4 linked regions of the Kluyveromyces lactis genome follow. The protein of the gene in region 3 interacts with the protein of the main gene of each other region in a pairwise test. Links are inferred from orthologs where the notes say so. Each region holds a gene or a part of one and is shown on either strand. Other genes may lie near its edges.

The links.
Region 1: the proteins of ORC5 (region 3) and RRM3 interact in a two-hybrid assay, tested with the Saccharomyces cerevisiae proteins (2 studies listed by BioGRID). The link is inferred for Kluyveromyces lactis from reciprocal best matches to the Saccharomyces cerevisiae genes ORC5 and RRM3.
Region 2: the proteins of ORC5 (region 3) and ORC6 interact in binary tests that used the Saccharomyces cerevisiae proteins (3 or more experiments, as listed by UniProt). The link is inferred for Kluyveromyces lactis from reciprocal best matches to the Saccharomyces cerevisiae genes ORC5 and ORC6.
Region 4: the proteins of ORC5 (region 3) and SUM1 interact in a two-hybrid assay, tested with the Saccharomyces cerevisiae proteins (2 studies listed by BioGRID). The link is inferred for Kluyveromyces lactis from reciprocal best matches to the Saccharomyces cerevisiae genes ORC5 and SUM1.

The regions. Positions count from the first base shown.
Region 1 is NC_006040.1:1,145,014-1,153,658, reverse strand, and holds RRM3 (DNA helicase), read right to left. Parts: upstream 5,216-8,645; coding exon 3,092-5,215; downstream 1-3,091. Other genes in the region: actin cytoskeleton-regulatory complex protein PAN1, read right to left, coding at 1-288; KLLA0_D13376g (alpha-mannosyltransferase), read right to left, coding at 810-2,801; SVF1 (Svf1p), read left to right, coding at 6,014-7,225. UniProt on the Saccharomyces cerevisiae protein: 5' to 3' DNA replicative helicase recruited to paused replisomes to promote fork progression throughout nonhistone protein-DNA complexes, naturally occurring impediments that are encountered in each S phase where replication forks pauses.
Region 2 is NC_006042.1:2,242,350-2,250,157, forward strand, and holds ORC6 (origin recognition complex subunit 6), read right to left. Parts: upstream 5,568-7,808; coding exon 4,317-5,567; downstream 1-4,316. Other genes in the region: MRP35 (mitochondrial 54S ribosomal protein bL35m), read left to right, coding at 590-877; NMA111 (Nma111p), read right to left, coding at 1,100-4,057; histone methyltransferase SET1, read left to right, coding at 5,912-7,808.
Region 3 is NC_006039.1:230,395-238,508, reverse strand, and holds ORC5 (origin recognition complex subunit 5), read right to left. Parts: upstream 2,468-8,114; coding exon 1,046-2,467; downstream 1-1,045. Other genes in the region: U5 snRNP complex subunit LIN1, read right to left, coding at 1-854; POL2 (DNA polymerase epsilon catalytic subunit), read right to left, coding at 2,678-8,114. UniProt on the Saccharomyces cerevisiae protein: Component of the origin recognition complex (ORC) that binds origins of replication. It has a role in both chromosomal replication and mating type transcriptional silencing. Binds to the ARS consensus sequence (ACS) of origins of replication.
Region 4 is NC_006039.1:1,282,461-1,291,291, forward strand, and holds SUM1 (Sum1p), read left to right. Parts: upstream 1-1,690; coding exon 1,691-4,546; downstream 4,547-8,831. Other genes in the region: 2-dehydropantoate 2-reductase PAN5, read left to right, coding at 1-958; RNA-binding RNA processing protein RPP1, read left to right, coding at 4,988-5,845; KLLA0_C14740g (uncharacterized protein), read left to right, coding at 6,366-6,926; GIC2 (Gic2p), read left to right, coding at 7,398-8,504; VMA22 (Vma22p), read right to left, coding at 8,824-8,831. UniProt on the Saccharomyces cerevisiae protein: DNA-binding protein that specifically binds the regulatory region of middle sporulation genes (MSE). Required for the repression of middle sporulation genes during vegetative growth. Represses expression via the recruitment of histone deacetylase HST1.

The sequences.
Region 1 (8,645 bases), on a different chromosome or scaffold from region 3:
ATTACCGAATGGTTGTTGCATGCCTTGTTGTGGTTGTGATTGTGGTTGTTGTTGCTGTGGCTGTTGTGGCTGCGCCTGTGTTTGTTGACTGAAACCTGTAGGCTGTTGATTCAAAGCGCCAGCGTTGCTAAAGGTTTGAAATCCACTGAATTGCTGCTGCTGGCCCTGAGTAGGGACCTGTTGTTGATAAAAATTCCCATAACCAGTTGACTGAGGTTGGGCATTGAATTGCTGTTGCCCACCAAATTGCTGCGGCTGCTGGGGCTGCTGCTGGTACTGGTTGTACATAGCAATTAGTAAATGGTTGGTTGACCCTTGAACTCGCTGAGCAATACTGCGATTCGCACCTCCTAAATCAAGATCAAAGTTGTCTTTAAACCCTTTGAATGGGGAATCATTTCAACCAAGAATTTCGTCAAAGTCTCCTATTCGATGATCACAAAATACGAAGAATATCGAAGCGTCAGTGTCAGTGGACGGATACTACAAGAACACTCGAGTCCGAGAGTGATACTGCGTCTATAAAGCAGATTACACCTCGGGGAAACTTCGTGAGCTATCTTCGCATGATTCTGGAGCAAGTTGTGCGGGTATAGGGTACATAATACGGCTGATGTCACTTTAGACATCTGTTTAAAAGTTTAAGTTAAACTACGTAAGTACAGGATGGTGACAGAGGAAGTGTTTTAATGAATACCTCTACTACACCATGACAGTTACACTATGATCAAAATATCAAAAGGCCAGGGGGGTTGGTAAGAACAGGAAAAAAAAAGATCAAGTTAATGGCGTTGGAGATGAAGACACTACTATATTTCCATGTTATCATCAAGTTTGACGTTTGAATTCCAGATATCCGAAACAGATTGTAAACGTGAAATAGTATCGGTATCGAATTTGACTATGGTTCCTACGTTTTCTTTTGCTGTGGCACAATAAGTGTACTGATGACACTCCTTGATTTTTTCCCAGGGATATTGCCCAACATTCGGCGTGATATAACCACTGATAGATAATGAAGAATCATACATTTGCTGTAAGGCAACAGGGTTGCCGTATTTCTCTTGGAAATAGTCAGGGTCGTGGTCGAAATCAGCCACGGCACAGTCTTGTACCTTACACTTCTTCAACCCACCGTTGGACCATAGTAAAGTACCTTCTGTGCTGACGTGAGCCATTTGGGTGCCACATATTTCAAAAGTATCATCAGGCTTGTTTTTAACGGTACCCATGATGGAACCTTCAGTTGGGTATATAGAATATTTCTCTCCGGCGAGCAATTGGCCAAGCCAAAATATTTCTTTATCGCCGTAAACGCATCTTTGAAGCTTACCATCGATATTCATCATAGTTGAGATGAGTAGACTAGATAATTTTTTAACTCGATCAACTACAACTAATCCACTATCTATGTGATGTAGTTGTAAGTTATGGAAGAACTTATAGTATATCTGCTCTTCCATAGATAGAGTATCGATATTGATATTATCATTCTCCACAAGTTCGAGGGGGAAAGTAGATCTATGGCTCATGAAATGGGTTTCTTCTACAGACGGGAAAAGCTTCTTTAATGTATCTGTACAATAAATAAAAGTTTTCTCGCCTATAATATTTCTGTCTCTGAATAACAGCATGCCAGTGTCCTGATAACCTTTGAAATCAAAATAGGATTCAAGACTGGCAAATGACACAGAGTCCGCATCCAGTAGAATACATTCAGAAAAGGTATTGAACAATAATGCCATCCATTTATTTATGAAATAATGGACGTATTGACCAACGAATGAAGCATCGATTAACGGTTCAATATTGACAAAATAAACCTGCTGTGATAATTTTTTTGCGTTTAAGAATGAATGAATGTCGTAAATGAAGGCTTCAGTAAGCTCAGATCCGTTGTGAATAACTTGTATTGGAAGTGTATTATTTAAATTCTCCAAAGTGAGAAGTAACTTCTTGAACTGGTCACCGTGCCTCAGCCCCAATGTCAGTACAATTCCCTTCCCCTCTGCAAAATTATTCCAATTATAGAAGAATGAATAATTATCATCCATTTTCCAGGTGTCTTTACCTTCTAACAATGGGTTACTAAAAGAAGGAATCAACGTCCAAGGATTGACATGTATCATTTTAGGCCACAAATGTCTGAATGGTGTCTTCTTTGAGAGGAAAGGGAATAATCTCGATTCAAGATCGTTTGGCTTCACGACTGATCTCTTGAACACCTTGGATGTGGATAAACCTCCACTGATGAAACAAGAATCATACATCCTTATCCGTTCTAACATAAGCTCTGCCAAGGGGTCATCCAAATTATTGTCGTTATGGAAGTCTTTAATATGATCATTATTCCATGTTGGGTTTATTTCCAATGTTGATTCGAAATAAAAACGGCATTTCTGCTCTAGGGGTAGCGTTGGCCAGTCCAAACCAATCTTATGATACTTATTAGTAGCATGTAGAGCCAACGAAAGCCATTTTCCGAGGTTAAGCGAGCTTGCGAGTCTATAAAATGGAGAGTAAATTAGTGCTCTTTTACCTTCAAAATGTGGAACAGTTGAATTTGGTACTGCTCCGCTTGGTAATAGAAAAGATATAAACAGCAACGTAGTTACAATCCCAAGCACCTTGATGCTAAATATCCTTCTCCAACGAAATTTCATCGCTTCAGGGCCACAAGCATAGTCTCTCGGATTTCTTTCTTGTTTTGAGTGCAGATAGAGTCTCAGCCTCATCGGACAATTTGATTTACTTTGTTTATTCATTACATATTTTAGATTATTTGGCTTGTTAACTGACATTGAATAAACAAAAGATAAAAAAAAACATCACAGACCCCTATCATCGATATAATAGGACCCGAATGTGTATCGTTACAGTATATCAACAAATAACTGCCTTATGCCTTTTCTTTTTTGATATATATATGCTTTATTTATCATTATGCGTATATGCCATGAATGTTCGGCGATTTGATGAATAATTTAAGTTTAGCTTTTAAGGACAGCCCCAACTGGGACATCTCCTCCATGACATGAAATAATGTGCGCTCATTCATACTCTAAATTTTTTTTTGAGGTTGTTAAGCTATTCATGTCTTTAGTTTATGCAAGTTTTGGTAAAAGTCCTTTACCTTTTCATTAACCTTAATTTTATGAGGATCAAAGTTTGTTATTTGTAGTCTATCCTTCGAGACAGCTCTTGATAATGCCACATAAACTTGACCTGATTCAAAGGTCCGTTTCAGGTCTACTTTTAGTCTATCGATAGTTTGACCCTGGGATTTGTGGATGGAAATTGCCCAACATAGCATTAAAGGTAATTGTTTCCTGACAGCAGAATCCTTCTCAGTTTCTCCGACAGAGAATTCTTCTGGTTCAACTAGTTTAATTTGGTATCCTCTGATGTCTTGTTTGTCTATGAATTTCACAACAGGGAACATGATTGTCGATAGAATACCGGGCCCATTTACGATTTTACTTGCTTTATCCAATACGAAGTTAAGAACTTCTTGCCTGTTTGTTGGTCTAAGATTGATATCCCGTTGTAAGTCCGAAGATCTACCAGATGGTGGCACACCAATGGCTCTGCAAACGCATCTCATATCTTGTACAACTTCCGGATCGCTTAGATCAGGGAATATCTTGGATGCTTCCAAGAACAATGCCGAAGTACAGAAAAAGAGGACTCTTCCTAAGGAACCATTGACTAAGGTATCATCGATGTTTTTCAACATCATTACTTGGGCATCCTCCTTCAGTTTGATTTCTTTTTCTGCCATAACGTTGTTAAGAATATTAGAATTGATATTAGGAGGGATAAAATCTACTGCCTTGTAAAGGATTTCATAACCTGGCAACCTCTCTAACCTACGTTTATTGGACAGTTCCACTTCACGTCTCGTTGGGTAAAGTTCGGTTGGTTCAATGCCATCGTCGTATTCCACTGGTGCTTCAAATTTTTTAATTAGTTTAATGGTGTCGCCAGATGTGTTACCCATTCTAATACCGTTCAAAAGATCAATCAATTCATTATCAGTCTGCCTGAACACCTGTTGTAATAGTATGGTTTTGTGGATAGCATATTTCCATACGTTACTCTCAAAGCAAAAGATTGGACCAGCCTTATTTGAATCTCTATCTGGAACAGGTGGAAGCTGGAAAAAATCACCTGTGAAGACCAACTGAATACCACCAAAAGGTTTAGTTCTATTCAATAAACCTCTTCCAATTGCATCCAGTTTATCAAGGAAGTAGCCATCAATCATTGAAATTTCATCCACAATCAAAACTTTAGTTCTCTTCCATCTGTTAAGACTAGTCTTGTTTCTTTTGACCATATTGATAAGTCTATTAGCATCACCTTGGCCAATACCTACACCAGAGAATTTGTTAATTGTAATACCTCCAATATTAACCGCCGCAAGACCTGTGGAAGCAGTGACCGCTACAGCATCTTTCCCATATTTTGCATTAAGCGTCGAGATCATGGTTCTCAATATAACGGACTTACCTGTACCTGCGCTACCTGTATAGAACACATTCAATCTATCTTTGCACACATATTCTATTACTTTCCTCTGCTCTGCAGTTAGTTCAATTCTTCCGTTAATGCTGCTAGATTTGGAGCTCTTGGAACTGGTATGAGAAACGATGGATTGTCTTGGAATCGGCTTTACGCGCTTTACTGAGGAAAGAGATAACGCATTTGAAGATGAAGAACTTTGTGAACCATCTGATACATCAGAATACGTTCTCTTGACTCCTGATAATGTTCTTTCCAGCTTAGGTTTTTGCCAACTAGATTCAGTTGCAGTTGCAGTTGCAGTTGCAGTTGCAGTTGTGGAAGAAAAGTAACCCGATACTGTTGAAGTTTGGGACGAAAAGGAACTACCGGACTGACATTGAAACTGTGACGATGATAGGAACGTTTGAGATGATGGCTTAAAGTTTTTCACTGGTTTCTTTTCTCGTAGCAGACTGTAGAAATCATCATTTGATTCTTCTTCAAACGACCCTTGGGAATGCAAAGACGAAAGCACAGACTGTGTTCTCAATGCTTTCACTGGAGGAGAAACAGTTTTTTCAGTGAAGTGTGAATTAAAACTTGAAGATGATTCTAATGCGGGCTTATTCTTCACTTTGAAGAACATATTCAAGGTGCTCTGTCCATCTTTCTTCTTATTCTTCTTATTAGCATTAAGCTTATTCAGCATTTTATCCAATTAAAAACTGGTAAAAAGGCTACCGCAGCTCGTCCTATTGATTCAAGCAGGTATAAACTAGGTATGGACCAGAGATAGAGCGCTAATAGGGTATTTTTCCTGCTTCATCGATGGATCATGTATCAGTTTCTTACGTGTTTCTCGGTGATTTTGGTTTGTTGACATTTTGGAAATGCGTGTATTATCCGGGTAACAGTTGCTATTATTTGCCAAGCACTGATGCCGTGCTTACAAGGGCCCATCAGCATTGTTTACTGACCCCCATCTGAGATCTATTCCACCAAGTGATGGTACGGAACCCAAATGCTTTTTATTGGTGCTAATAGGGTCAAAGCTCCTCGTAAAACATCAGATCACGTGACTAGCTCGTTTCGCCCATACGAAAAAGAAAAAAAATCAACAAAACTCATCTCACTTAAGAAACGAAACTTAGAGAACAACAAACAACAAACAGTAAACGAGGGGGGCGAGACAAATACCAAAAACAGTCGTTATCAGCGCATCAGAACCAGTCCAGTAGTCATTGATTATAGTTATTGTACGGGTTTGCGTTCTATTTCTTTTCTATTTCATTGATTCTAATAAGTGAATTACAGAGTAAGTTCAGTCTCAAACCTTCTCATCGGTTTGTTTGATTTATTAGATTGCTGTAAGTCATAGAAAATAGCGAGTTATTTCTTTGTCATTTGAACATCGCACATCTACGCACACAGTATCAAGCATAGCTTTACTGTAAGAAATCTCGAGTTTGCATCGAAAGTTAAGCCTACAAATTTATTCACTATCGAAATGTTGAAGTGGATTCAAGGTGGTATTAGTGCCGTCACAGGGATTGCTGAGCCAGAATATGGCCAAGAGTACATTCATCCATGTACTGAAAGAGTTAAGGGTAAGCAGCCATTCCATGTTACTAGTACGAAGGATTTCGAGTGGAGGAATCCAGACTACACGAACGTTGAGACATCAACTTTTTACTTTACTGATCTGGAAACTGGATACACTGGGTTCGCTCAAGTGATCCATTCCAACATCATTGGATTGCATACTACTGCTCAGTTTACTTTCAGGATTTACCACAAGGAAAATACAGATGATCAAATTTGGACATCGGTGAAGTTAGAGAATTTCAGAATAGAGGGAACTAATTTCTACGCTGACAATCTATCTATTGTAATGAACGAAGAAGGTACCGAAGTGCAATTCAAGTCTACCGTGGACGAAAACGTCGAAGTGGATTTCACCATCCGTAGAGCAGTTGACGGTGTCAAAGTCGGTGAAGATCCATCCACTTACTACGGTGACGATGTTACTCAACCTTGGGGTAGTATGAGACATGTTTTCTGGCCAAGAAACCACATATCTGGTAAGATTGCTGCTAAGAATGAGGAAACTAATGTCAAGATCGATTTACAGTTTTCAGAAGAAAAGAAACATTATTCCATGTTCGTTTTCGCTATGCAAGGTATGAAACCACATCATGCTGCCAAATCTTGGACCTTTTTAAACTTCCAATCAGAGGACTACACTGCCGTGCTTATGGAATTCACCACGCCTAAATCATACGCCAACACTACGGTAAATATCGGGATTGTATGTGACACCAAGAACATTTTATCCGTGACAGTAGATAACGATGCTGAATATATCGACCCTGAAGTCGATTCTGTCGGATGGCCTGTACCAAAGGAAATCTCTGTCTCCTTTAACGGTATCAATGCCGACATCAAAGACGATGACGTTGAATCTGCTGATCCATTCAACACTATCGTCAAGGGTAAATTGGATAACCTGGTGGAAAGAGTCGACGTCATGGCTGAGATTCCAACTTTTGTCAAGAACATCGTTTCTGGTGTCGCTGGTACCAAACCGTATATCTACCAGTTTTTCGACGACTTCGAATTAACTATTAAAGACCAGGAATCGAAAGGTTTCGGGTGGTGCGAAATTACTTTCATTTCAGAATCATCTGAAGTGGAAGAATCTGCATACGATGAAAACTAGAACCTTACTCATAAAAAGTGCTTCCCTTCATCAATTTTTAACGTTTTAATATATCACTCTTATTTTTCTATTCTTTTCTTTCTCATCCTTTATTATTAGATACCAACACACGTTGATTAACCCCAACGTCTCTCCTCCAGCACTGTTCTACCTACTACTTTGATAAAGAGATAATACTAACACCGATAATAATTATAATAATAACAATAATCATATCACTAATATTTGCAAACCACTATTACTTTTCCCCCCAAATTCTTTTCGACAGTATTCCGTGAGCGCGTGCATGTACTATAGAAATACCGTATTTACTCACCTAGTTAGTTAGTTTTAAAGTAATATATTTCCCTCTTTTTTCGCTCACTTTAGTGGAATAGCTTTGTTTGCTTGAAATACCCGATTGACTTAATTAATCCGAATATGCGTGAATATATGCCGCAACGTACAATAGCGAAACTGGAGTCCCGTTTTTTGAGGCCTCTCTGTCTGGAGTTTTCATCTCGAGATCAATCTGGAGTTCCTCGTCTGGAGTTCTTCGTCTGGAGGTCCCCTTCTCGAGGTCCCCTTCTCGAGGTCCCCTTCTCGAGGTCCCCTTCTCGAGGTCCCCATCTGGAGTCTTACCATCTGGAGTTCCACTTTTAGTGCACTGGAAAAGGGCCAAAAAGGCCTCACCTTATGTGAGGGAAAAAAGGACCGGAAAAGTGCACAAGTCACGTGCGCACGAGGTTTGTATCAATAGATAGCACATTCATTAAACGGTATCTCGGCCATTAGTCTCAGCGAAGCTGGTAATTGCTACAAGGAGGAATAAGCCGAGAATAGAGTTCTACGCAAAAGTACAACCGGAGAAACTTGTCCCTCTTCCTGTAAAAAAAAAACGTGAAAAAGTTTTTCCGGAGCGCAAATAAGTTTTTCCGATACGTCATTTGTCCCTTTCAAAGAGATGATAGCAACCGAAAAGTAATGAGCAAGAAGAGAAAAAGAAAGGAAGTAGTAACAAACCAACAAAACTTAGGAAGCTCCAGCTCTAGCATACCACCAACACACACCACCAATGTCTGATGATAAAGACCAAGCTGCGGTACGCCGGATCAATTTTAGGCTTAGTTAAGGAATCATCTGAGTACTTTTCCTTTCTTTATGGACAGTGCTTGGTTGTTTTTAGTTTTTCCGGTGCCTTTGACCCTCTAAAAAATCCAGTAGAGGAATATCTTCTTTCTAGTTCATCCATCAGTTTACGACATACAGCTTCCTGCTTGCTTGCTCGTTACCCAAAACTTTCTTTTCAGTACAGTAGGAAACGGTTCACTGTTCGATGTTTTCAGAAACCTAGTAGCATTTCTCTAATGATCCACCAGGTTTTCTTTTCCTCTCATTATTAAGCCGTAGAAACTTTTTAAGGTTAGGTAATCCCATAACA
Region 2 (7,808 bases), on a different chromosome or scaffold from region 3:
AATGACCATAATGGCAACATACCATGCAACATCTAAACGAATGAATTACCAAGAAAGTTATGATTTTACAAACAAAAAGTTGTAGCATTTCACCCAAGTTATTTATGACTCGTAAGCAGCGTGAACTGTGTTAATCGTAAACGACAAGATCTCAACATTACAACGTGAAGAATAAGAAATAGTTATCAATTCTTCACAAAAACAAGACAAAAAGAAACACAGAAGAACAAGAATACGAGAACAACGCTTTTCAATAACAGCTCATTGCAAAATATGTGCTCCTAAATACCCCTGGTTCAAAAACATCATCTTCTACCATTTTGCTAGAAACAAATACGTCTTTCTGTATATACATGTATCTCCCCCATCTCACAATTTAATCAAATTGTAATTTTAAACACTTCGATAGTATATCACTACATACGTTTCAACATAAATGACATTTTTTGTTTTCTCTGAAAGAAGTGTATGTAATAAAAGTTTCTTGTGAGATTATGGCAAGGTACTGAGTGAAAGTGAGCTACAATTCAAGTACTTCATTGTTAACGGACTATAGCAGGATTTACCCCACCAGCGAACTACTTCAAATATGCTATCTTCTATCTTTGGTTCGATGATGAACTTTTCCGCTAGAACTGGACTTCTGGGATCTAAAACTAATGTTTCATCGCTCATCCTCACCAGAAACTTGATGAAAACACACAAAGGTGCCGCAAAAAGATGGAGAAAAACAGCCAATAGCTTCAAGAGGGGCAAGGCTGGAAGAAATCATGGTAATGCTGGATGGAGTAGGAACTCCCTTAAATCATTATCTGGCAGGTCATTAGCAGACTCCACACATATGCATCGTTTAAAGAGATTGCTTCCATACCATTAAGAGATGAAAGGCAATTAAAATAAGATATCGTTTCGATTTCAATCCTGTACATATAACAATGGCATCCCCATAATGAATGACACACCATTTCTTACCATGATTTTCAGTAAAGCATGTCATGAAAAATCAGCGGGTTACTATAATGGATAATTATCATTAATAAATACCTATATACAATTTGCAAACAACGGTAAAAAATGATTAATCATATATATAGTCAAATTAAGTCTCCGAGATATCATTCTCGATCCAACTACCTGTTTTTGGATTCTTTCTTAATTCTACCGTTGGGAAGTAGTGATAGTTTGTCTTTAAGGAAATGGCAAACGGAACATCGTCAAATGTCATTAAGCGTAACTTGCAGTATGTATTATCTGGGATTTCTTTAACAACCTTCAAGAATGTATCCAAATCAGGTGTTGATTGGTCATTGACGTGTGTGATAAAGTTGGTCACTTCTATTCCGTACTGTAACGCCAAAGAAGATGTACCACGAGAAACCGCATATACTTCACTAGGAATAGACGTTTTTACTTGACGCACGGCATGATGAGGAGCTTGTAGTACGCAACCTGCGAATACGACAATTCTAGTGGTTTCTTCAATTTGTACAGTTTTTATTTTCAAATCGATAACCTTCGCATCTCTTACAACCTTGAATAACAACTCAGATTCGATATCCGTATCGTCATCAGTCCCCACGACACCACCAATATCCCTCATTCTTTTTACCAGTTTCCCATTAACTGATAAGATAATATCACCAGGCTCGAGCCTTTCCTTTATTGTTGTATAGGAGTTTCTGGTGACACTGATGAATTGTAATCTGTTTTCTGATTCTTCTTCCATCATCTTAATCCATTCTTCAGGAACACCTCTGATTCTAGCCTGCAATAATGAGATGGAATCAAATCCTGCGTCCACAATAGAAACCTTAGGATTCTTACCAGCCCTGAGAATATCTACAACTTCTTTGATATCCACTACGTCTAAACCCATTAAATACAGTTTTTCCTTGTTACCCATGCAGGATAACCAGATTGCTCTCACTGTACCATCATCTGCCGCTAATATTCCTGATTTACATTTGGTGCTTATATTCGAATCAATGGAGATGACTTCTAGATTGGTTGCTCTATACCTAGGAATGATGTCGTTAGGAACACTCAGAGAAGAGATGCCATTGACTTTAGTCTTGGAACTGATTAAAGTGTTTGAGTACATGTAACCAATGAAATTAGTTTCGTCTCCTCTTTCAAGCCTTTCATTAGCTAGCACTGGTGTGCATACTGGGGCGTCAACTAAAGATGGATCATATTGAACAATAGCGTAATTTTGGGTAGGATGTAAGAATACAACTTTAGCAGGTACAAGAATGGATTCAGCGAACGAGACAAACGTGTTCAAACAGTCATGAGGAACAAAACTACGTGAAACAATAACATATCCCTTCTCAGCATCGAGTACTAAACCACATCCGTTTGTGGGTTCGGGTTCCATGGAGTCCATGGTGATAGCAATAACCGAATGTACAACACATAGACTATGTGACATTTTTGCAAGTTTTTTATTATCATTAATCGGTAGATCTAAAATCTTAGCTTTCTGTGGTTTTATTGGAAGTGGTGGTAATTTCTCAGTGATCTTTTCATAATCCCAAATACCTGTTTTGTCATTTCTAGTATAGATTCGGAACTCACTGCACCAATGACGGTCAATATAAACACTGGTTATTCTTTGTGTTTGAACATCTGTCAAGTTATGGAATTTCACGATTACTCTTTTTTCGTCAGGAATTGTTTTCATGACTTCTATAAAGTCGTCTAGAGTTGGTGTTTCTTTATTATCTACAAAATCAATAACCCATCCAGTTTTCTCCTTTGGATCCAAATCGAACGATCCAGTGGCACTTGCCACGAAAACGCCTTTTACAGGTAACGCATAGCATCTAGCCATTTGGTACGAAAGCTCATGGAAATTAGCACCACACACCTCGACATAACGTGAAGGAGTAATAATATGCAGGTCACCAACAGTGCATCTGAAGGAAATATCTTTGGAACCCCTTTGAACCACAATGATTATCTCATCTCCTACACTGCTATCTAGAATGTTATCAACTTGAATAAATGAACATATTGGTGTGCCATTAATAGAAATTAATGTGTCACCCTCTTGAACTTTATTATAAGCTGGTCCCTCTCTGAGAATAGCCTCAGCCACCAGCAAACCAGTTTTACCCGGGAACCTCTTACGAGCTTCCTTCTCACGATCTTCACTTAATCCAAGTCTTCTACATTCATCGAATGGTTTCAATACCCACTGAGTTTGGATAGTACCTCTGGTGATTGGTTTATCCGTTTGTACGCATTGTAGAGCTCTGACGACTCGATCAAGAGGCAAAAAGAAATCTGTAGAAGCCTCCGAAGAGCCACCGGCCTGTAAAGCGACCGCATACCCCTCTACAGTAATAACTGGAGAACCAGAAGAACCACCTGATGCAGCAGCAGCAGCTTGAATATATTCAGTATTAAAATCATTATACGTTAGCTCACCATAGTCTGGTGCATTTCTGTCAAGTCTACTGATGAACCCTGACAAGATACTCAATTTTTCACCAGCATCGTTACCAACAACACGGATTTCAGAACCAACCTTGGCCAAAGATGGTTTCAACTCTAGTGCAGTGACCTCGATATATTTCAACTTCGATGGATCAAACTTCAAGAACCCAAAATCATGAACTGGGTCGCGATAGATAGGGATGACATCACACTCTTCGTGATTGTCGAAAATGGCGTATCCGATGAATGGACCTGGACCCACAACGTGTCTGTTTGTTAAGATGATACCGAGTTTTGCATCAACAATGAAACCTGTTGCTTCCGACACCAAGGCAGCTTCTGAATCGAAAGGTGCGACTTGCGAGAAATGAATTGAGACCACCGACTTAACAACTTTGGAGATAGTTTCTTGCCATTTAGCGTTGTTATTGAATAAAGAGTTGCCTGAATCTATAGGTACATCGTTCACTTCATCATAGTCTTCTTCATAATCAATATCTTCGTCTACACTACTTGTGTTCTGATCGACGTCATTGTCGACCCTCTGTTTCTTGGATTCAAGATCAATGTCTTCAACAGATGATTCGAGTAGGTTTCGCTTCAACTCAACAGTCATTTCACCAGTTACTCGGTACGTACTTCGCAGTTGATTATTCGAAGAGTAATCCGATCTCCAGAGTTCTGACAGACGGTAATGTCTCTCTTCAATTCATCTCATCTGCGCTCTCTATGTTTAGTTATCTTCTTTTTTTTCATCTTGCCGTTCCCTTCGGTAAACGTCAACGTGAAAAATTCATTAGAAAGGTAATGAAAACGTATTGAATGATAAATGCGAAGATGGGGACGGTGAGAAGAAAGGTATCGGAGGAAACCATTCATGTGCCATCTCTTAGACTGAGGTCGACCATAATTCTTCGTTTCCAGTTTGAGTATTGCTCTTCTGATACGACTTCATATTCGTCTTGTAACATGCTGCCTATTCTGACGGCGATAGCGTTATCGAAATCCGATCCATCGTAATAATCGAACTTGACACGGAGTTCTCGGTACCATTTCTCACCGTCTATTAGTTCTTTTGTGATCTTGATAGCTTCCATGATATCTTCATCATTTGTTGTTCTCATTTGTGCCGCCATCTTCTTCATTAGCTTGTTATCGATTGTACTGTCCTGATTTCTCTGTTGGTTGAAGACAACGAACGAGCAAAGAAGTACCAGACCACAAACCAACTGTGTAGGATACGCTAGGTAAGTAGCGTTGTTATTGAATTCGGAAATTATGGTAGCTGTTACTTCTTCAGGAAGTTCAAATTCATTGCACAGAGTCACCAGTTCAGCGGTAGACGGTCTATAGTATTTTTTGTATAGCATGTTCCATTCGTTATACTTACCTCTTTTCTTTCTTGGTGAAGGCGTGTATTTAGAAGGGGAGTCACGAAAGGGTGACTGTCTTAATGGAGATTCAGGATCATCCTCAACTGATCCAAACACTTGTGGTATATTGATCATATCAGTCTTATTCTTCGGGGTTGCTAATATGGGCAACGGAAGGCCATTTTCTGTATCAGCTTCAAACACTAATTTCCTCCGGACACTTGACCTACTCCCTTTGCTAGGTGAAAGATCAACATTCTTCAAGGGCTGGATACCACTTTTAGTTCTTGATTTCGACGGAGTCTGGAATAGCTGTTCTTGTAACGACTTCGGATCTATCCCTGTGAATCTTGCATTTTTAACCGCTGACTTTCTAACCGATGGTGATGCAGTATCATCAAACTTCAGCAATTGTCCTTCGGTATCCTTTTGCGGCGAATGAGGCCATATGTTTCTCTTAAATATATTCACAAGTTTGGATACTTGGTCTGGTGGAAGCGGGATCTTCTCCTGAGAATATGGTAGGTCATTGTCATACTTCTCAGCTAGTTTCTGAAACGCAATCAGTGCACATATATGGCACCGAGCAAGTTCCTCTGAATTCTTCAGCATCACTTTCGATACTGAAACGTTGTATAATGTTGCTGTAGTAGAAGCCACTTTCTTTAACCGTTGGTCTTGCCAGTCAACATTAGAATCATTTTTGACCCCTAATAAATCGGTTACACACGTTCGTACTTGCTGCGTAGACATCTTAAATTATTTCCACGGATTCTTAGCACTCTAAAGTGACTAAAATAGGATCATCTACTCACTTGTTGTATTACACTGGCCCGGAAAAGACATATATCTCATCTCATCTCCATGGACCATTTTTAACATAATATTAAAAACAGTCTTTATGTAGCTTTTTGATCTTTTTCTGATTTTCTCGATTTTCTCCAATATTGAAACAAAATATGGTAAATAATGAAATTGAATATTAATCAAAAGTATCATTATTCGCTTCTCCATCTATAAGTTCAGTTTTGGCAATACTTCTAGTATTTCATCTAGCATAAGTTGCTATTCCAGCGTGTGTGTATATTTTAGTTCTCATGAGTGGGTACTATAATAGACAGTACTCTCATTTTCATGGGAATAATGATCGGTACCAAACCGGACGATATGCATATCAAGAAAATGGGAATAGGTACAAGGGCTTCCAACGGAATGGATCAGGGAACCGAAGATACTCCCGCGAGGGGTTTGGGTCTCAACTTAGGAATAATGAGAACGAATCTCGTCCAATACGGTCGCAGTCGCGTGGTATCAGCGAGATTCCTCGTAATCCCTTCGCAACGCGTCCAGTAGTGAGTGCGAAATACGATCGCGATGAGTTTAATACAAAATATCATTATTACGACATTGTAAGTAAACGACTACGAAATGAATCCAGCTTCAAGAAATGGAAATCTGAGAAGATTCCTGAGCATGGATATGTGACAACAACGGAGTTGATTGCATCGGATAAGCAAAAACCAATACTCATGGCCAGGCAGCCTGAACAAACTTCGGTGGATCCGAGAATACGTCCTATGAATGGGGATGCGGTCTCTGGGTCCATTTCTGCGAAAAAGAGATATAGAAAGCTTAGAAGTGCATTGGTACGCAACTCGCGAATTCCGTATGATTCTTTCTACATTGGTCCTGAACCTCCAAAAGAAATCATAGTATACCCTTCTGCATCTAACCAACAACCAATAGCAGCCGCATTATCTGAAGCAATAATCAAAAACTACTTTAAATCATTTGGTGAAATAGCGCATTTTGAACAGTTCATGGATCCAAATAGTGCATTGCCATTGTACGTCTATCTAATAAAATTCACTGGTCCAGTTTCTCAACCTGATGCTCCATATAAAGCTGCTTATAAGGCATCAGAGAAATTCAAAGACGCACCTTACACAGTATCAGGTATCAAGTTCAATGTCATTTTAAACCAAAATACAGTGTTAAATTCAATAAAGGACAAACTAATCAAACAGAACGCAGCCAGAGTGACAGAAGTGAATAAAGCGAAACGGGCCATTGCAGAGAAATCATCCGGGCAGAAACCTCAAGTAATAAGAGGAGTGCCATACGATTTAACTCAAGTTGTGAACAACAGACCAGTTTTGTTTGTTCCTGCAAAGATTACGTTTTATCATAGGTTCAATGCAGCAGATTTCAGATATCAACTTCGTAAGTACAATTGGGCCAAAATTATTGATCACTACACTGGCGTATATATTGTTTTTCATGATCTGGAAAATGCAAAAGCATGTTTAGAGTACGAATCAGGTGCCTTGGTCATAAATTCGCATAGGACTCACTCTCCCATACAAATAGAATTTACTTTCATTGAACCAAAGAGGAGACTTCAATCAAATATCACTAACCAAAGAGATATCAATAAACCTCGAAAGATAGAGTACTCAAGCACGGAAGAGCTATTAGAAGCCTCCACAAAACAAATTCTCAAAGATTTGCATAATATCATTAAGCGTGATATCTTGAGAAGGCTTGTAGGTCCAATTATATTTGATACGCTAAATCCTGCTAACTACCCGGAAGTTGTAGAAAGGCAGAAGAAACTGGACGATGAGAAGAAGAAGCGTGAGGAATCACAAAAGAAGACAACGATAAAGGCCAAACCCGCAGAATTTGATATTTTCAGTCTATACGGACCTGCGTCTAAAACAAAAAAGCTGAAAAGAGATAGGAAAGCTGATCTAGGCAAACGTCATTTATACACTGAAGAATCTCCTGATCATCAACGTAAAAAGAAACCTAAGGTGGAACATATGTCGCATTTGTTAAATGATGAAATTTCTACCAGAGAAGATACAGTGGATTCACTCAATGTTGGCTCAAACGGTGAAAACTCTCCGGAGTCATCTGGATATGAATCGGAAGATATTATTTCAGATGAGTCGAAGAAACAGTCTTCCGTGATAACAACACCGGAGGAAG
Region 3 (8,114 bases):
AATGATTCATGAGCCGTTTCAAAGTCTGCAAACCATTTGAAGACCCAGTTTTTACTTTCAACGTCGTCAATTGTTGATCCCATGAGATTTTCTTCATCATATAACTCCCTTATTCCTTCTTTCTGCAATTGCATGGGATTGTCTATACCCTTCTGTTCCAGCACATTTACTAAAGTTAGAATGATCTGTATTGCGTTCGCAATGTATTTTGTACGTTCCTTATGTTCTTTTGGTAAACTTTTCCGTAGTTGTTGAAGCAAAATCAATGCTTCTTGAATTGTCTTCCCTCTCGGTACAAAATAGTACAATTGTTCGAGAACTTCTTCTAGTCTGTATAACATCCTAGCCCTCTTCTTCCGTTGTAGAGTTTGGCTATTTTCATGAGCTTCTCTTGCCCTTTTAATTGACTCCTTCGAAGAAAAGTCTTGGATCCATTGGTCCTCATTTTCAAAATCATCATTTATAGTTTTTCCCGTAGCATTCCCTACCTTGTCTACGGTCCCATTTTTCAGTTCTTCTTCCATGTTGAAGGCTTCTATTTGTACGTTACTACCATTTATTTCTTCTTCTGATACTGAATCATCAGCAACAGCGCTGTCAGATTCTGAAATCTCTGAGGAATTTCCATCAAAGATTTCATCGGTTTCGGTTTGACCTCTTCGTACGAAATCTTCTATTTCTTCTTCATTATCGCTACTGTCGTCGCTGCAAGAAATGTCCTGGTAGTCTGATTCCTCGAAGTGATCGTCATAGCTATCTGCGTTGAAGTCAGTCTTTTTGACCTGAAGCTTATCCTTAGATTTGGTAATTACAGATCTATCATTTTGATCAGATGATCCCTTATTTACATTCATACTCAATGAAAGCTGCTGCTTTCTGCTTGCTGGTATGTCAAATATCTGAATCTATGGTTGTTTCTCTCTACGTATCAATTTCAATGTCTATAAAAAATACCTAAATTTGAAGAAGCATTCCATAGAGTAAAATGAGATCGAAAAAAAAAGAACGGCATGCAACAATCATATAACTACTACAAATGCCGAGTTTATTCCACAACATCACTGAAATATTCTGAAATATCAAAATCAACACTGCCAGCCACTAGTAATATGTAATCCCAAGTGACGTTAACTTTAAACTTAAGTCTTTCGTGAAGATACCCCAATTTGTGCATGTTCAGACCGGTAAGAAGTTGAGAAGTAATCAATTCGGACACGTTTTCGTAGACTTCCACATTTGCTTTCATATGAACATCTCTTTGAAAGAAATCTGGAGACAATTCCTTCGAAACTCTGACTGGGTATATCGATTGGAAAATTGCCAGCATTCTCTCAAGAGAAAAGCCTGATGGTTGAAGGTATCTCGGGTTATTCGCTGGTTTGCTTCTTCTCCCATAAGATGATCTACCCCCCCTTAGATGACTCTTCTTGGAGAAGACTTTAGAGTCGTACCGATGATTCAAATATGATGCCAAATATGCGGCTATTAGAAGATATTTTGCCATGAAACAAAGAGAATGGCTTGAATAACCAACAGACCCGGTACCACTTAGTGAATTTTGATCCGAACGGCTGGTTTGTGGTATTAGTCTTTCGTTAGGTTTATTGAATAGCTCCAGGTTAGATTTGTATAACTGTACTGTATTTTTAATGTTCTCTTGATTTAAAGATCGTACAAAGCACCTCCATTTAATTCTCATTATGTCTATCAGTGCAGTGGGGTCATAACCTGTATATACAATTAATGATTCTATCAGGAAATGGATATATTTTTCGAAGATTTCACTCCTGAATTGTTCTGTATTTCCGCATCCTATCTCATCCATTTTTTCCAATAACAGCGGGTCATCCGAGAAACCTGGTGTTTGTGATACAATATATTCAATCTCCAGTGGTTTATATTTGGGGAAGAAGATCGTGGGAACCTTGAACGTTGAGTAATTGGACAAGAATGAGGATTTGGAGAACGAGATTATTAACCGAAGTTGAATCATCGCTTGTGGAAGAATAGATCCAGGTAATGCCATGAGTTGCGTAGGTGTTTCCAAGTTCACCTGTGAATTATCATCCAGCCCATCGAGTATAACATAAAGGTTAACGCGTTCTACCAAGTGATTAAATCGGATAAACAATTTATTGATAAATTTCTGCAAAAGATATACGTCCTCGGCTTCAAATGGATCAAGATCAGTGGTTTCCACACTAGGAAATTGTTTCAGTAGCAATTGACGCAGACATGTAGCCAACCGCTGACAGGTGGATTTGCTATATATCAGATCTTTCGCTGGTAGTAAAATGTTCATGATTTCTTCATTGCAAGCAAAAAACTTCTTGAGGGTATGTGTCTTACCACTTCCATGCGGCCCTTCTATGAACAAGATTGGCGGGCTCAGTTTTGGATCGGCATCGACAAACGCTTCCAAAAAATCTAGTTGTTCTTCTCTATATCTAACATCAGGTCGTACCATTCTGGGTCACTTGATTCGCAGTAAATAACACATAGTGCGTCTTCATTCAGGTGGGAAGAATTCAACCATGCTAAGTTCAGAACAATTTCCTTTATGTGTATATATATTTTTTATTTTCAGATCTATTTTAACACATAAACACTCATAAATGTTAAATGTAAACACATCAGCAGACTAAAAGATAATACAACAGATGCCAGGGACTTGAACCTATAAGAAATCATTCAAAGTTTCTTTCAATGTTCTAAAGTCAAAGCTTTCCGCCAAGTTCTTGAAAATTTGTAACTGTGCCATGAAAGATTCCTTAGATACGGCAAGTTCCCATTTTCCTGAACATGGACAATAAGGTGACATTGCATCCTCTTTGATCTTATGACATTTATTGCACTTAACATCTTGGGTAATAAACGATGCAACTTGGGCTTGAAGTCGTTCGATCACATGCTCTTCAATGAGATTTTTATTCAAGGATCTGTTGCAGCTCTGGCATATGAAGACTCGTTCCATACTTTCTCTGCAAATATCAATATCTGATATATAAGAACAATGCTCACATATGAAGCTAGGGATCACAAAAGATGTACTTGGATCCTTGAATTCAGCTAATCTGTCGAATTCGCGTATTTCAAATGTCTTTAGGAGTTCTTTCCTTAGCGCCCTTCCTTCTAATAAATGATTACTGGAAAGTGATAAAATATGTGATAAGTATTTGACCAACTCAAGAAGCGGATTTTTCACAACTAGATGCGACCCAGGAATTGTGGGAGATAGATAATCCTTGCCGAAGTTAGGATCAAGAATATATTCCTGTTGGTTCTTGTAAAGTTTCTCTGCTCTTTTGATGAGAGCTTTTGAAAAATTATGGGTAAAACCGCCTAGAGAGTCAGTTTGACTATCTACGTCACTATCAGCCAGTGTATTCTTTGGTAATTGGGTTAATCTTTGTGTGGATGCATTTCGCTCATGATAGGCTTCCTTTGTCTTAACCATACTATCCAGTATGACTACTAACCAATCATCAAACTCTTGCTGATAAATTGCAGGTAAGAAATCCTTTATATGCCAATGAGAATAAGCCTGGAAACTCTGAACTTCTTTATCTTCAATCTGTAGACATGCTCTACCACCATAATTATACTTATCCATCCAAATCAGGACATCCCAATATCTATCAATTTTCAAGTCTAGATAGGCAAACATTGGTTTAGATCTGATCGCTTTCATGAGATACTGCCCATAGGCGTAAGAATTCTCAACGGAACGCTTCTGAGTTTTGATTAACAGTTTGTTTCTGTCTGCGAAGATGAGAGATGATCCTGCCAGCTTAAATTCATTGATCAACTGTAACACGGCCTTTTGAGTGAGAGTATGGATGTGATATCTCAAAGCATAATCGAATAATTTCGCGTCAGGGTTATACACCCATCCTATAAATGCGTGTACTAATGAGTCAGCCGTGATATTATCACCTAAGGCATCATCCCAAAGCTCTTTCAACAGTGCGCGAAGCACTGACAAGGCCGAAGAAGAGAAAGAATCTTCAACAAAACCGAAGGATTCTTCCTTAGATGTCGAATTTTGGGCAAGGTCTGTACCTTCAGCCTCGTTCAACATGGTGCTGCTCAAAACAGTGTTCACAACAGAGTTATAGACACTAATTTCGAAGATAACGTCATCATAGATATCAGGGTTATTCATAATAGGGAACACCAAATCAGTCATGAGCTCCGCTTTCCGTGGGTCAAAATCTCTTTCAACGCCACCGTGGTCAGGCAACGGCGATTTATCATTCCACCATAGAACGATGTTGTTCTTTTTCAACTGGCGAGCGTACATCAAATCGATAATGTATCCGAGATTATCGACTTTGAGGTTACATATTGGAATGTTGCTGTATTTTGAGAGAGTAATCAAATTTGAGATCCAAGAACCAAGAGACAATATGTGATTGACCGCTTTCCTCATTAATTGTCCCTGCCAGTTCAAAGCTGGCAAATGTGTTTCAGCAGTAGCTATTTCAACAACAGGGAAGGCATTCAAAGGCTGCAACAATTTAGCAACTCTATGGGTATATGGAGATTGTAGAATCACCATTGTGTGAGATCCTTTTTCTTCCTTAATATTTTGCAGCATCTTTGAAAGGTCCTTCAGTAAACGCTTTAGTTCAGTATAATCATTCACGTTAAACGAAACGTTCTTGTTTATCTTGATTAAGTCATAGTATTTATCGAGCTTTTCGAACTTTTTCTCGTATATCTCGTTGTAAAGAGATTCTATAGCTTTATTAGAAACTTCTTGAGCATGAGTGCTTGGTTTCAGCACAAATATTTCTACCACATCTTCCCATGCTTTATACAAGAAATAGAATTCATAGCCGATATCTGTTACAAAATGTAGAAGGTAGGCAATATCAAGGTCAAACCTTTGGAGATATCTATCTGCTTCAACAGGATGTAAATTCTTCATATGAAAACCGTTCTGTAAACCTTTTCCTAGCGCACCCATTTTTTCAGAGCTGAATTGAATACACGTCCCTAGCCGCATTATGACTCTTTCATTCGAAGAAATTGAGCTCTCGTATATTCCCAAAACATTCTCGTTGTTCAATACGCTTGATGCTTTATTAACTTCGTTGAAATAGGTATCTTCTGACATTGTCAGTTTAAACAATTGACTACTGCTTTCATTGTTGATGCCTTTCACGTTAGGCAGTTCCGCGTTGGACTTTTCGACGATACAGTTTTCAATCCCTCCCGAGGGGAAATTCTCCGTCTTGAAGTTCATGAGTACAGTTTTGGGAATGTTTACTTTCAGCAATTGGATTTTCCTATCGATTAAAGCATAAATTTCTACGACACCTAAATCGATGGACGGTTTACATTGTAAAATTTCCCAGCTTTTATCTGCATATGATTCAACGTGCTTTCTTATCAAATTGCCCAAAGCAGACCGATCAGATGCTCGTGAAGTTTTACCAAATAGCTTTTCTCTTTTCTTTCGATCAATATGCTGGATCTTCCATTTGGTTTTTTGATATTGTAACCAGCCCACATAATCATCTAACATCGGAGGCATTTCAGAGGGTAGCAGCAAAGACTCTTCTTCTAGTGCTGTATCCCCATTACGTCTTTTGCTCTTTCTCTTGTACGTGACCTTAGCGATACGTGATTTATTCGCGGAATGTTCATCAAAAGAGTCTTCTATATCTTTGACTTCAGGTGGAGCTTTGGTAGATTTGAAGAAACGATTCAAGGAAGTCTGTTTGAATTTATCTTCACTAACAGCAATTTTCTTTCTTAACCAATCAGGATGTTCAACACGGGGTACAGGGTTTTTAATGTTTTGTAATGCTGCCGGTATTGTGATAATTTTTTGAACAACAGAAGCCAATCTTTCTCTATAATAGTCCCAATCGATAATAGCCCTTGGATCAAAGTCATTGAGACTTGAGTCCAATAACCATCTCCTTAAAAATGTGCGCTTAACATGAAGATCGGAAGAAAATATAGCAACAGGAATAGCCCTTTCTGTCACCGGTGCATTATGTGGTTTGGAACTGATAATAAACTTACACTGTAAGCCTGCGTCTTTAACCATTGCTTCCCCCAAAAATTCACCGAGCCTTCTTGCGGTGGTAATGGAAGTTGACTTTTGTCCCTGATACTCCTTTAATGTTTTTGACATACTTTTATTCTCACAAATCAGTTCAATAAGATCTTCAGTTTCGAGCATTGCACCCTTAGAATCTAATACATCAAGCCATCTATTAGCAACTGTTGCTACTGCAGCGTAACATGACTCTAAGGTTGTTCCTTCCAGGAATAACTTGAAAATATCACTCTGGAAATTTTTGATTAATTGTAGTTCACCTCTTCTTTTTAGTTCGAAACCTTTTAGTTCAGCCAATGAACCATCTTCGTTGAACACAGCATATCTCTTCTTGATACCTTTACCTTCTTCTTTGGAAGTTGGCAGTATCATTGCTTTATATGGTCCATCGACTTCAAAGAAAATGGAATTATCACTTTTTGTTTGGTATTTGAACTTCATAGGGTCGACGAGGTCTTGATATTGATGATTAGTGTATTTTTGATGAACTTTATAGTTAAGCATCGAACAAGGATACGAAAGAAATAGTTTCTTGCCGTTGCGCAGCTTGATTTCAAAATTTTCCGGAAAACTCTTAGGAAGGATACACCAAATACCATCGGTGTCTAATTCTAACGGTCTTCCAATTCTTTCAACCACGGATCTGGCCATTTGAATAATGTTTGCACCTGTCAAACATGTAATACCAGCCATTTCCATCGAGTACCATCGCGAACCCTTTCTCATCACATAGCCGTAAAATGAGTTAAGAATGACTTTGTGCGCTAATTGAAGAGAATCATACAGGACAATCATTTTTTTAGCCTCATCCTTCGAATGTACGTCATCTGGTTTGATTTTAGATAGTTTTCCTTTCCATAACTTAGCTAGCCCTTTGAACTCATATCTTCTATCTCTGAAGGATCTCACGGTGTTGACATAGAAAGGATTTTCCCTTTGACATACGATTGCCTCTCTTTCAACGGTTTCAGTAACTTTTACTCTGTGATACACTTTCCTAGAGTAATCAGTCAATCTCTTTTTAATGTGACTGACTTGATCAGAGTAACTAAGCTCCTCAAAAGTTAAGAACTGTTTCTTAGATTTAGGATTTTTATTGGGAAATAATTCATTCTGTAATGCACGTTTTACCATGCCGTATTCATCCATTTTAGCAGGGAAAAATTCACCTCTCCAAGCCCATTTAAGTCTTCGATCACATGATTTACCTGGTCTATTGAAATCACAACTAGCACAGTCCTTTTCATCTTTCATACTATCTGGTTGTAACCTATTGGTGGTCATAATATTTGGGTACATTGATGCCACATCAACATGATAAATAAGAGGAAGCTCATTTCTTTTGTTGTTTATTTTTAAGTCTGTTAACTGTGCTGTAATTTGTTGCTTGATTTCTTCGAAGTTTGTGACATCTTCCATGTTCCCATTGTTTTCAACTTCAATACAGAACTTTAGCGCATATGGTAGATCCTCAAGAAGGATGTCAATTACCGTAGGATCTATCTTAAAATCGTTCTTCAAATCGCTGCGAAATACACCTGCTTCTAACGATTCAACATGCCCACCAACGTAAGTTTCCGACTCAAGTAAGTGTCCATCATAAAATCTTTCTATAGGATCGGTGTGCTTGTTCGGTAGCAAAACACTATTTTGATATGCTTGAACCATTAAAAGCATTTCACACAATGTACCAGTACCTTTTCTTAGCACCTCATCTGGATTTAGTGGAATAATGGTACATAGCGAAAAAATGAATGGGTGAACATATTTCATATAAAGGTAGTACGTTGCAACAGCATCTGAAACTGAATATTCGGAGAGAATCTGCGGTTTTTCATAAGCATAAGGTGTCATTAATTCTGGATCTAATTCTAGTGGGTTGTAGCCAAGTTTAGCTTGGGTGACTGCCTTTAGACCCTGGGAACCCTGTGGTAGATAGGAATCACGCTTAACCCACCTAAAGCAGTCCATATGAGTACAGTAACTGGATTTGTATTCTCCTTCCGAATCTGGAGCGAAACCAATTTCATCAAACATG
Region 4 (8,831 bases), about 1.0 Mb from region 3:
TACAATCAAACCTTTGTTCGATGCGAGTTTATCTCCCTTAACAGAGCAATTTCAAAGTGCGACGTGCCCCGGCATCTTCCAAGGCAAAATCGATAATTTGATCGTCACTTGTAAGACATATCAAACGGCTGAGGCATTGAAAATGTTTCTGCCGTACCTTCACAACGACACTAACATCATCATGATTCAAAACGGACTCGGTGTCGCTGAAGTGTTGAAGGAACAAGTCTTCACAGGAAGCGACTTACAATCAAATTTGTTCCAAGGTGTCATTGGCCATGGTATTTTCCAAGATAAAGAGATTAAGAATCAGTACAATCATGCAGGGTTTGTTGATTGCAAGGTCTCGAAATTACCCGAAAATGATGAAAATATTATAGAAACGTTAGACCAATTGAATGAATGGAAGCAAAATGATCTGGTTAAAGCTTTGCTAACATTGGACCAATCGTTGGCTGTCATCCATATGACGTACCAGGAACTTTTGTTGGGACAATTAGAGAAGTTCCTAGTCAATTGCTGTATCAACTCTGTCACTTCAATTATAGACTGCATGAATGGAGAATTAGCCAATTGTTCAGAACCAATCTTCACTTCGATCATCGAAGAGGCTCTTCATGTATTCCAAATCGCATATAAACCGTTATTCGATTATCCAGAGACCTTCAGAAATACTGAAAGTGGGAATCTACCAGAACTAGACGTCACTGGCAGATTGAATTTAGAAAGAACACTGAAAAATACCATTTATATGGGATGTATAGTGAATGGAAGTAACTCATCTTCAATGAGACAGGACGTCCTACATTTAAGAGAAACAGAAATTGATTTTATTAACGGCTACATCGTGACGTTGTGCAAAAAATTCTCACTACCAGAATCTGACGCTAAAGTCAACAAAACCATACAGCAACTTGTGAAATTGAGATTGAAATTGAACACGTCGAGAAATATATAGACATTAAGAAAATGTGTATCATATATATCATATAGTGTAAAAATAAACCTTCATGAGCTGATCACTTTCCCTTTCTTGCGCTCTCAGTATTTTGACATCTTTATTTGACAATAAATTCTTTTTCTTTTTTACATTTATTACCCCGGACAGTTACCATTTGGAGTGTAAATTTCAATTGAAAAACCCACTTTAACAGCAGCAAAATAAGGTACGACATTATTTTGCGACTTTCACTTGCAATATATTAGGTTTATATACCTGAACATGTATGTTTATATATTTAAGATTATCCAAAAATTGCCGCAAAGATCATCCATATCTCGAGAATCTCGTAAACGATACAAAAGTCCGCTCATCATATTGATAACCATTGCTCGCACATCAAAAGAAATCAAATTCAACTTTAACACATTCAGTATTCCGCCATCTTTTCCTTACAGTAATTTTTTTTTTTGGCAGCATTTTCTGAGTTTTTTTTCTACTTGATTATTATTGATTGTTTTTTTCCATTTGCACTAAGGTGAAAACGACGAAAATTGGAAAAGTGAAAGAAAAAAAAAAGCGAAATTGAAATTCAATAAATAGTTAAACATCGTTATTGTCGAGAAACAGAACGACAGTGGTGCTTTACAGGGTACTAGTGACTATTTAACGGGTGTAGATCGGATTGAATCTGTTGTTATAGGTTTTGAGTCAGAACAGACGAAACCTGCTTGCTGAATCAGAGACAGTATGGATTCTGATACTGCGATGACAGGCCATGACGATAATAATGGTGAAATTGGAATTGGTGAGAATGGTGTTTCCAGACAAGAGAAGGATAGTTCTGTAGTAGATAAAAAGGACAAGAATGGTATTTCTAGTGTGCAAGCGGGTTTAGAAAGTCAACGAGGTACAATTCGAGAGCTTGAGAAAAAAGTTTCTGAAATTGAGTCTATTTTACCTGAAACTGACGAAATAATTCAAAAGAGTATTGAGTCAGTTGTGGTGACTTTGAAGAACTTATCGCATAACCAGCAAGTTTTGGAAACGAAATTCGAGGACCTTTTAAAGAACCAGGTGAATTCAGATGCGGCCATAAACGATCTATCCGTGGAGATCATCAAGATCAACAGGTTGTTATCCGATAGGTTAACGATGTCCGCGACATCAGGTGCATCGTCAGGGACGATGGGAACTGCTGCGTATGGATCACCCGCATATATGTCATCTGCAAGCGTCTCTCCTCCTCATAGGGGACCTGGTAGACCACCTAAGAAGAACACTTCGATATTGTCCAATGGCGATAAAAAGGCGAAATTGCCATTCCCAAGCGATCATATATCAAAATCAAAACGTCTTTTCCTGGACCCAAGTAAAGAAAAGACGGAGTCCAACTCAGGTTATGATGCAGATGGGGTTGGCAACAGTCGATCTCGTAGTTCTGCTAACGTCAAGCAAGAGACTCCTCAGGAACCAAAGAAACGTAGAGGTAGACCTTCAAAGAAAAGCACATGGGAAGCTCAACTCACTTCTTCACAAAGAAAGACAAATGCTGCAGATAATGATACCAAGGAAAGGCAAAGCTCTAGCTCTAGACGCAAATCTCAAAGATTGAAAAGTGGTTCGCGCCAATATGATGAACAATCGGATCTTTCATCATCGTTTTCCGGTATGTCTGATAATGAAGGGCAAGATGATGAGGGCGATGTCACAGACGATCAGAAACAGTTGGCTAATGATATGCATGACTCTCGTTCCAGAAAACAGAAGGAGCTCGAAATGAAAAGAGATGAAAGAGAAAGGATGCTAGTCACCATGAAATATAGCGATCGTAACGTTACCAGGAATTTCATGGAACTCAACAAAGATCTTTTCATGGCCATGAAACAAGAAGAACGGAAGAAAAGAATGACAGCGGTGCCTTTCAGCGTTCCAGTACCGTTGGGTAAATATCAACTTTCAAGTAAACATTTGGAAGAGTTATCAAAAGTACCTTTCTCCCTGTCGCAAACAGCGGAGAATTCTTCTGGTGCTCAATCACCTTCGTCTAATCCTCCAGACTCTGCTCGCTCTGTGACACCACAAACAATTATATCAGCATATAACAATTTGGAACAACCAGGCAATGTAGGCTCAGTTTCTACGGCAAGTGCGGATGATGTTAACGGTCAAAAATCGTCGTTACTGAATTCTGAGCACAAGGATCTGAACGGCTCTGTGAAAAGAACATCTTCGGACATCGGTGATCGATCTCAAATGTCCAACGAAGCAGAGGGACCACGTAAGGTCAGAATCTTGTCTATCTTGAATGATGATGCATCTACTGGTGTAAAAACAGAAGAGAATGGCTCGGCTAGACCTCATCTGTTAGACATGCCAAATTCGACTCCTCAAGGATCTGCAGACGCATTACCAAGTTCTCAATTATCTGTTGATTCGACAGAAAACTCGCAGGATAACTTTTCCGTCACCACTTTACAATCTGGTGGTGAATCACCAAATAAGAAAAGGCATCTAACATTGCATGATCGTCGAAAGATGAGCAGGATGATTCCGATGTTACCAGAAAAGAAAGATAAAAGGGGAAGACCAAGCTCTAACAATCAATCCCAAGAAAATGCAGCGTCTTTGTTAATGTCATCCCCTGTGGAACTTTACTGCCGTGAAGGTTTTTTTTATAGAAAAGGTTCTACAATTCCAATCACAGCGGGAGAGTATTTGGATTTGAAGTTCAGACACAAAGAAGACGAATTGATTAAATTAACAATGCATGAAGAAGATTACGCCGAGTTAACAAGACAGGATAGAATCAACGCGTATTTCCTTAAACCAGACGTTGAGATTGAAACCTCAATGGCTTGTCAAGTTTTGTCCAATGTCATATTAACCGAGAGATACGTCAATTCATTAGAATATTTCCTGATGGAATTCCGTTGGGAGAATAGATTGGTAAGTTTAGGTCTAAAGCTAAGAGAATCTAAGAGAACTTGGCAAAGACGGAAAGCCTTATTTGCATTATTTGAGTTTTGGAGAGACAAGTCGAAAGATAAGAGAGGTTTCCACAATTATACATTGTTGCATGCAATCAAAGAAATGGAAAATTACAGAGTCTTCATCAATAGGTCGGTTTCATGGTTTTACAACCACATTACCCTTTTAAAAATGATTCTTTTTGATTTATGTGATAATACGAATACTCATTGGAGAGAATGGATGTTCGCCAGAGGCACTGAACTACCGCTTGTTGGTAAAAATGGCGTCGATGTCATGAATATTAATAGAGAAATCGATAATATTTTGGTTCTTGATTTCCTAGAAGATGGTAGCAAAAATTCAAACAAGAAATCAAGTTCTATTCCATACAAAGAAAACAGTGAAGGCCCTCTAGAACAGCCTTATGTTACGAATGATGTTCCCGCAGACAAGGGAACAAAGGAATTACACACTGAGCATGTCCAACAACAGTCAGAAACCCCAGTTCCGGAACTGGCTGGAAATAGAACTGAAGAAAATACAAACCATGCTACTGGGGCGGTAGCTGTAAATCAAGATCAGCACTTACCTTCTTTACCGAAAGATTCAGAAGATGTGAACTCTACGCAATGATATTTATGCACATAGATCATAATGGTTCCTTTTTGGGCGCTGTTTTTCATCAAACCTATTTTAACGGACATTTTATCACTTTATGGAACAAATAGTAAGGTATGTACTCTATAAATAAACTGACAATTATTCTATTTAGATAATATTGTTCTCATACTCAAAAACATTGTGACATGGCCGATTGGATGAAGTTTAAAGTTGTATTTTTCAACAGTTGGGCTTTCAAGTAAGGATTGTACTTCATAGTATGTTATAATATCTTCAAGTATAATTTTTTCGGAAAAGACATTACAATAATCTACCAAAAAAAAAATCTAGTAAATAATGAAACATGAGCATGAGATGAGGTATGCTGGACACTCAAATGGAAACAAAAGTTTCTGTTGAATCACTTGTAAATACTCCTTCCAAATTTGCAAAGCAAAATAGCTATTTGAAAGGATGTTAGTTGATTTAAACGTTCCTTGGCCACAGAAGGATTTTGCAACACCGCCTTCCACGAAGGAGATTAAAACGCTGCACAAGACTCTAGCGACATTGCATACACTAGGGTACACTCACATAGCTTTAAATTTCACAGTAAACCAACAGGATAAATTCCCAAAATCAATCAATGATATGAATCCTATCGATCTATCGCATTTTGATGAACTAGTGAAATCTACGGGATTAAAGCTATATACAAGAATCACAATTATTATAGATGACCTTTCAAAAGGCCAGCCGTTGACAAAGATATCGCAAGCTTTCGATATTGTGGCAGCCCTTCCAGTCAGTGAAAAGGCTGTTACTCTCGTAACGTCTAGCTTGGATGTTGATGTGCTATCATTTTACTACGACAAAAGGCTTCCTACACTTTTGAAACATCACATGATGGGGGGTTGCATTAAGAGAGGAGTCAAAGTAGAAATTGTTTATGCTAACGCTCTTCGAGATATCAGAACACGTAGGCAGTTCGTATCTAACGTGAAGAGTGTGATCAGAACTTGCAGGAACAGAGGAATCGTGGTCAGTAGTGGAGCAACCAGCCCACTAGAATGTCGTAATGTCATTGGAGTTACAAGCATTTTGAACTTTATTGGGCTTCCGAATGACAAATCTCGTAAATCCATGGGCGAGCTTGCTAGTTTGGTACTTCTAAATGGTAGATTAAGAAATAAGAGCTATAAGCAAGTCATTTGTATTGGTAACGAAGATGTAGTCAATGAAGATTTTACACAGAATTCATCGTTCAAAATAGTCAAAAGGAAAAACCCAGATACACTGGAAAGTGATGACTCGAAAAGAACAAAAAGCTGAATTACCATGAACTTAATTTTCATACTGCACTTCTACTGTTGAATCTCTCGAAGCATTCAATAGTACCGATAATACGATATATAATAGATTTTATATTTATATAAGGAAAATAGTACAATAAGCATTAAGCAAAAGATGGATACAAGGTAAATTTAGGAAATTATGGGTAAGAGTAATGATATCGGTGATTTCAATCCACTTTGAGTTCATCTTTAACATGTCCAATTTTACGTTTAGTTTCCAAAGTCAAACTTACTATCAAGTTCTAAACCCAAAGTTATTTTTCATTCTAATATCTGTAAAAAGAGCAGGTTACTGTTACCCGCAACACATACATGGTGTAAATCCGATCAAAAGCTCAGCGGCTATTGAAAAGAGTATAAAAGTATCCAGCTTGGAGACTTTACGATTTTCTTCTTCGAATCATAAACCGCCTTACATAGAAACGGTCTATTATATAAAAAACACAGACAGTACGTAAGGCAGTAACTTGGGAAAACAAGTGCCACACAAAGTTAAAATGGGCGAGGTGAAGAGTTACTTACGAAAATGGAGACGCTCTTCCATTCTTAAAAGAAGCAGTTTGAAGGATAAACGGAAAGAAAATTGGGAACAACGTATAGAGAAGTCCTTGAGCGAATGCGATGACATTAAAAACTTATTGGCTGGTCGTCCAACGACACCTGATATTGCAAGAACGAATAATAGTACATTCCTTTCCAAGCGCTCTAGGGCTTTTGTTACAGAACCGTTATCGAACCAAGAATTGGATAAAATCAAATATATGAATTTTGCAATGGAGAGAGATTATAGAGCAGGTACTAGGCCAGTGATACCGAGAATGGATTCAACCAACAGACGAAAATTGAGCGTAAATCTCACCCCGACATCGATTTCAGCAGATGACTCCGAGAATAATGCGATAGTGAAAGACTTTTCTGAGTTCATTGAAATTTCTTTCAATAGTTTGAGCATTTCCGATGAATACACACCCCAACCAAGCTTTTCCAAAGAGTCCGAGGAACCTAGAACCGCCAGTTCTAAGAGTCTAGAAAGTCTATGGAGTAAAAATGTGAAATAGTCGTAATTGGTAACCATGTTGGGTCAACTAATGACTTATCTAACCCACGAAAAAAAGCCGTAGAAACTTGAGAAAAAATAACGGCCGCCAAAAGAAAAAAAGAAGACATGAAACCCAAGAAAAAAGAAAAAACCGGATTGGCGATGGTGAATTAGAGAGGTTAGAAAACATTAATTTTCGATCAACGAAACGTATCTGCATTCCTGAAGAGGGTGCGAAAATGAAAAATCGTGTTTTTACCTAATATAGGAATTCCTAAATTAACTGAATCCAGTAGTAGTTAACCATAGATGCGAAAAATGTCAGAAAATTGTGAAACCTAGGAATGCATGAAACATTACCACTGTGGACGCGGCCGATATATGTATATATAAACGGATAAACATGATCCAGGGTACAAAGGCCATGATTTGAATCATCAGAAACCAGGCATTGCCGAATAAAACAACCAACAGATCTGGGCCAATACTTATGATGAACGTACCTCAGATCAAGTCGATCTGGCTCGATGAAGACGATGAAACAGAAAAATTATATGGTTTACAAGCTCACCAGCTTCTGGATTCTGACGATGATGATGAATTGGGCGTTGTAATGATCAATAGTGATAAACCTGTCTTAAGTAATAGGAAAAACATTAATCTTCCTCCATTGCCGCCAAATGCGTATGATAAACAATCTGGAAAGAAATCTTTCAAGAAGAAGAAGAACAGCCTCTTAAAACTGTTTCAAAATAAATCAAGTAAAGAAGAACCTCCTAAGTTAAAAATTTCTGTCCCATTTGGATTTAATCACATCTCACATGCAGATTCTAAGGCAGGATTTGAAATGCCTACTGCAGATTCACCACCACCATCTAACAGTCACTTACAGGATATACCGGAAAATACCAAATTTCCGACAAACTCAACAATCAATTCCCCAACGCAAATGACTAAAGCTTTCGTAACAGATGCAATTCCATATGCTAAACACCATCTGGTTTCTAGAGGGTCATCTACAAAACGTTCTTCGGTTGGATCCAGTACGTACTCGAACCAAAGAGTGACATCAACTTCAACAATGGCTACCTCCTTGCTAAACGATTCGCATATGCGTTCCATTTCAAAATTAACTACCCTAGAGAAGACACATTTGAAGCATAAATATTCTCAATCAGATGCCAGTGAAGTAGATGTCGATTTCCTAAAAAACTATCAGTTCCCAACTTTGCTAGAAGAACAATCAATCCTCCAGGTATCAACACCTGAAACGGGAGACAAGAAAATAGACAAATTCCAATGGGAAACACCAGTAAATTCTGCGGATCTTTTAGAGACTATGCTTTTGGATGACTTGAAATCAGTACCAAAAAAATCAATTACACCAAAGCACTCATTGAAAAGAAACTCTGATCCAATTCTGACACCAATTTTAAGGCCATCAGAATACTTAGACTCTCCAAGAACCAGAAGGTCAGTTGATGATGTTTTATTATGCTATCTACAGCCTAGTGATGCTGGATCGTCATTGGATGAAAGCTCTAGTGAGTTTTCCTACGCTAGAAATTCAAACATTTACTATAAATCTATTCTATGATCTTCACCCGTGGCCAGGGCCATTCCATTCACTTTCACAATTGTTCTCAAGAAAATATACCCATCTTTCACTCGTTATTGCATTTACTGAAATCAGCTCTCTTTTTGATACAGATTAACCCTTCGTCGTTCATTTATTAATAATTAATCCCCAATCTGCATGTGTACAGATATACACTCATTGTACGTCTTTCAATTGGCGCCATCCAACGTTATTTTCGTTTCCAGTAAACTGTTCTTTCCAAATTAGCAATTGTACAGATAGTTTTCTTTTGTATTAACTCTGATATAAGATCATTCCCATAGCAATTATAAAGTTCTTAAGCTG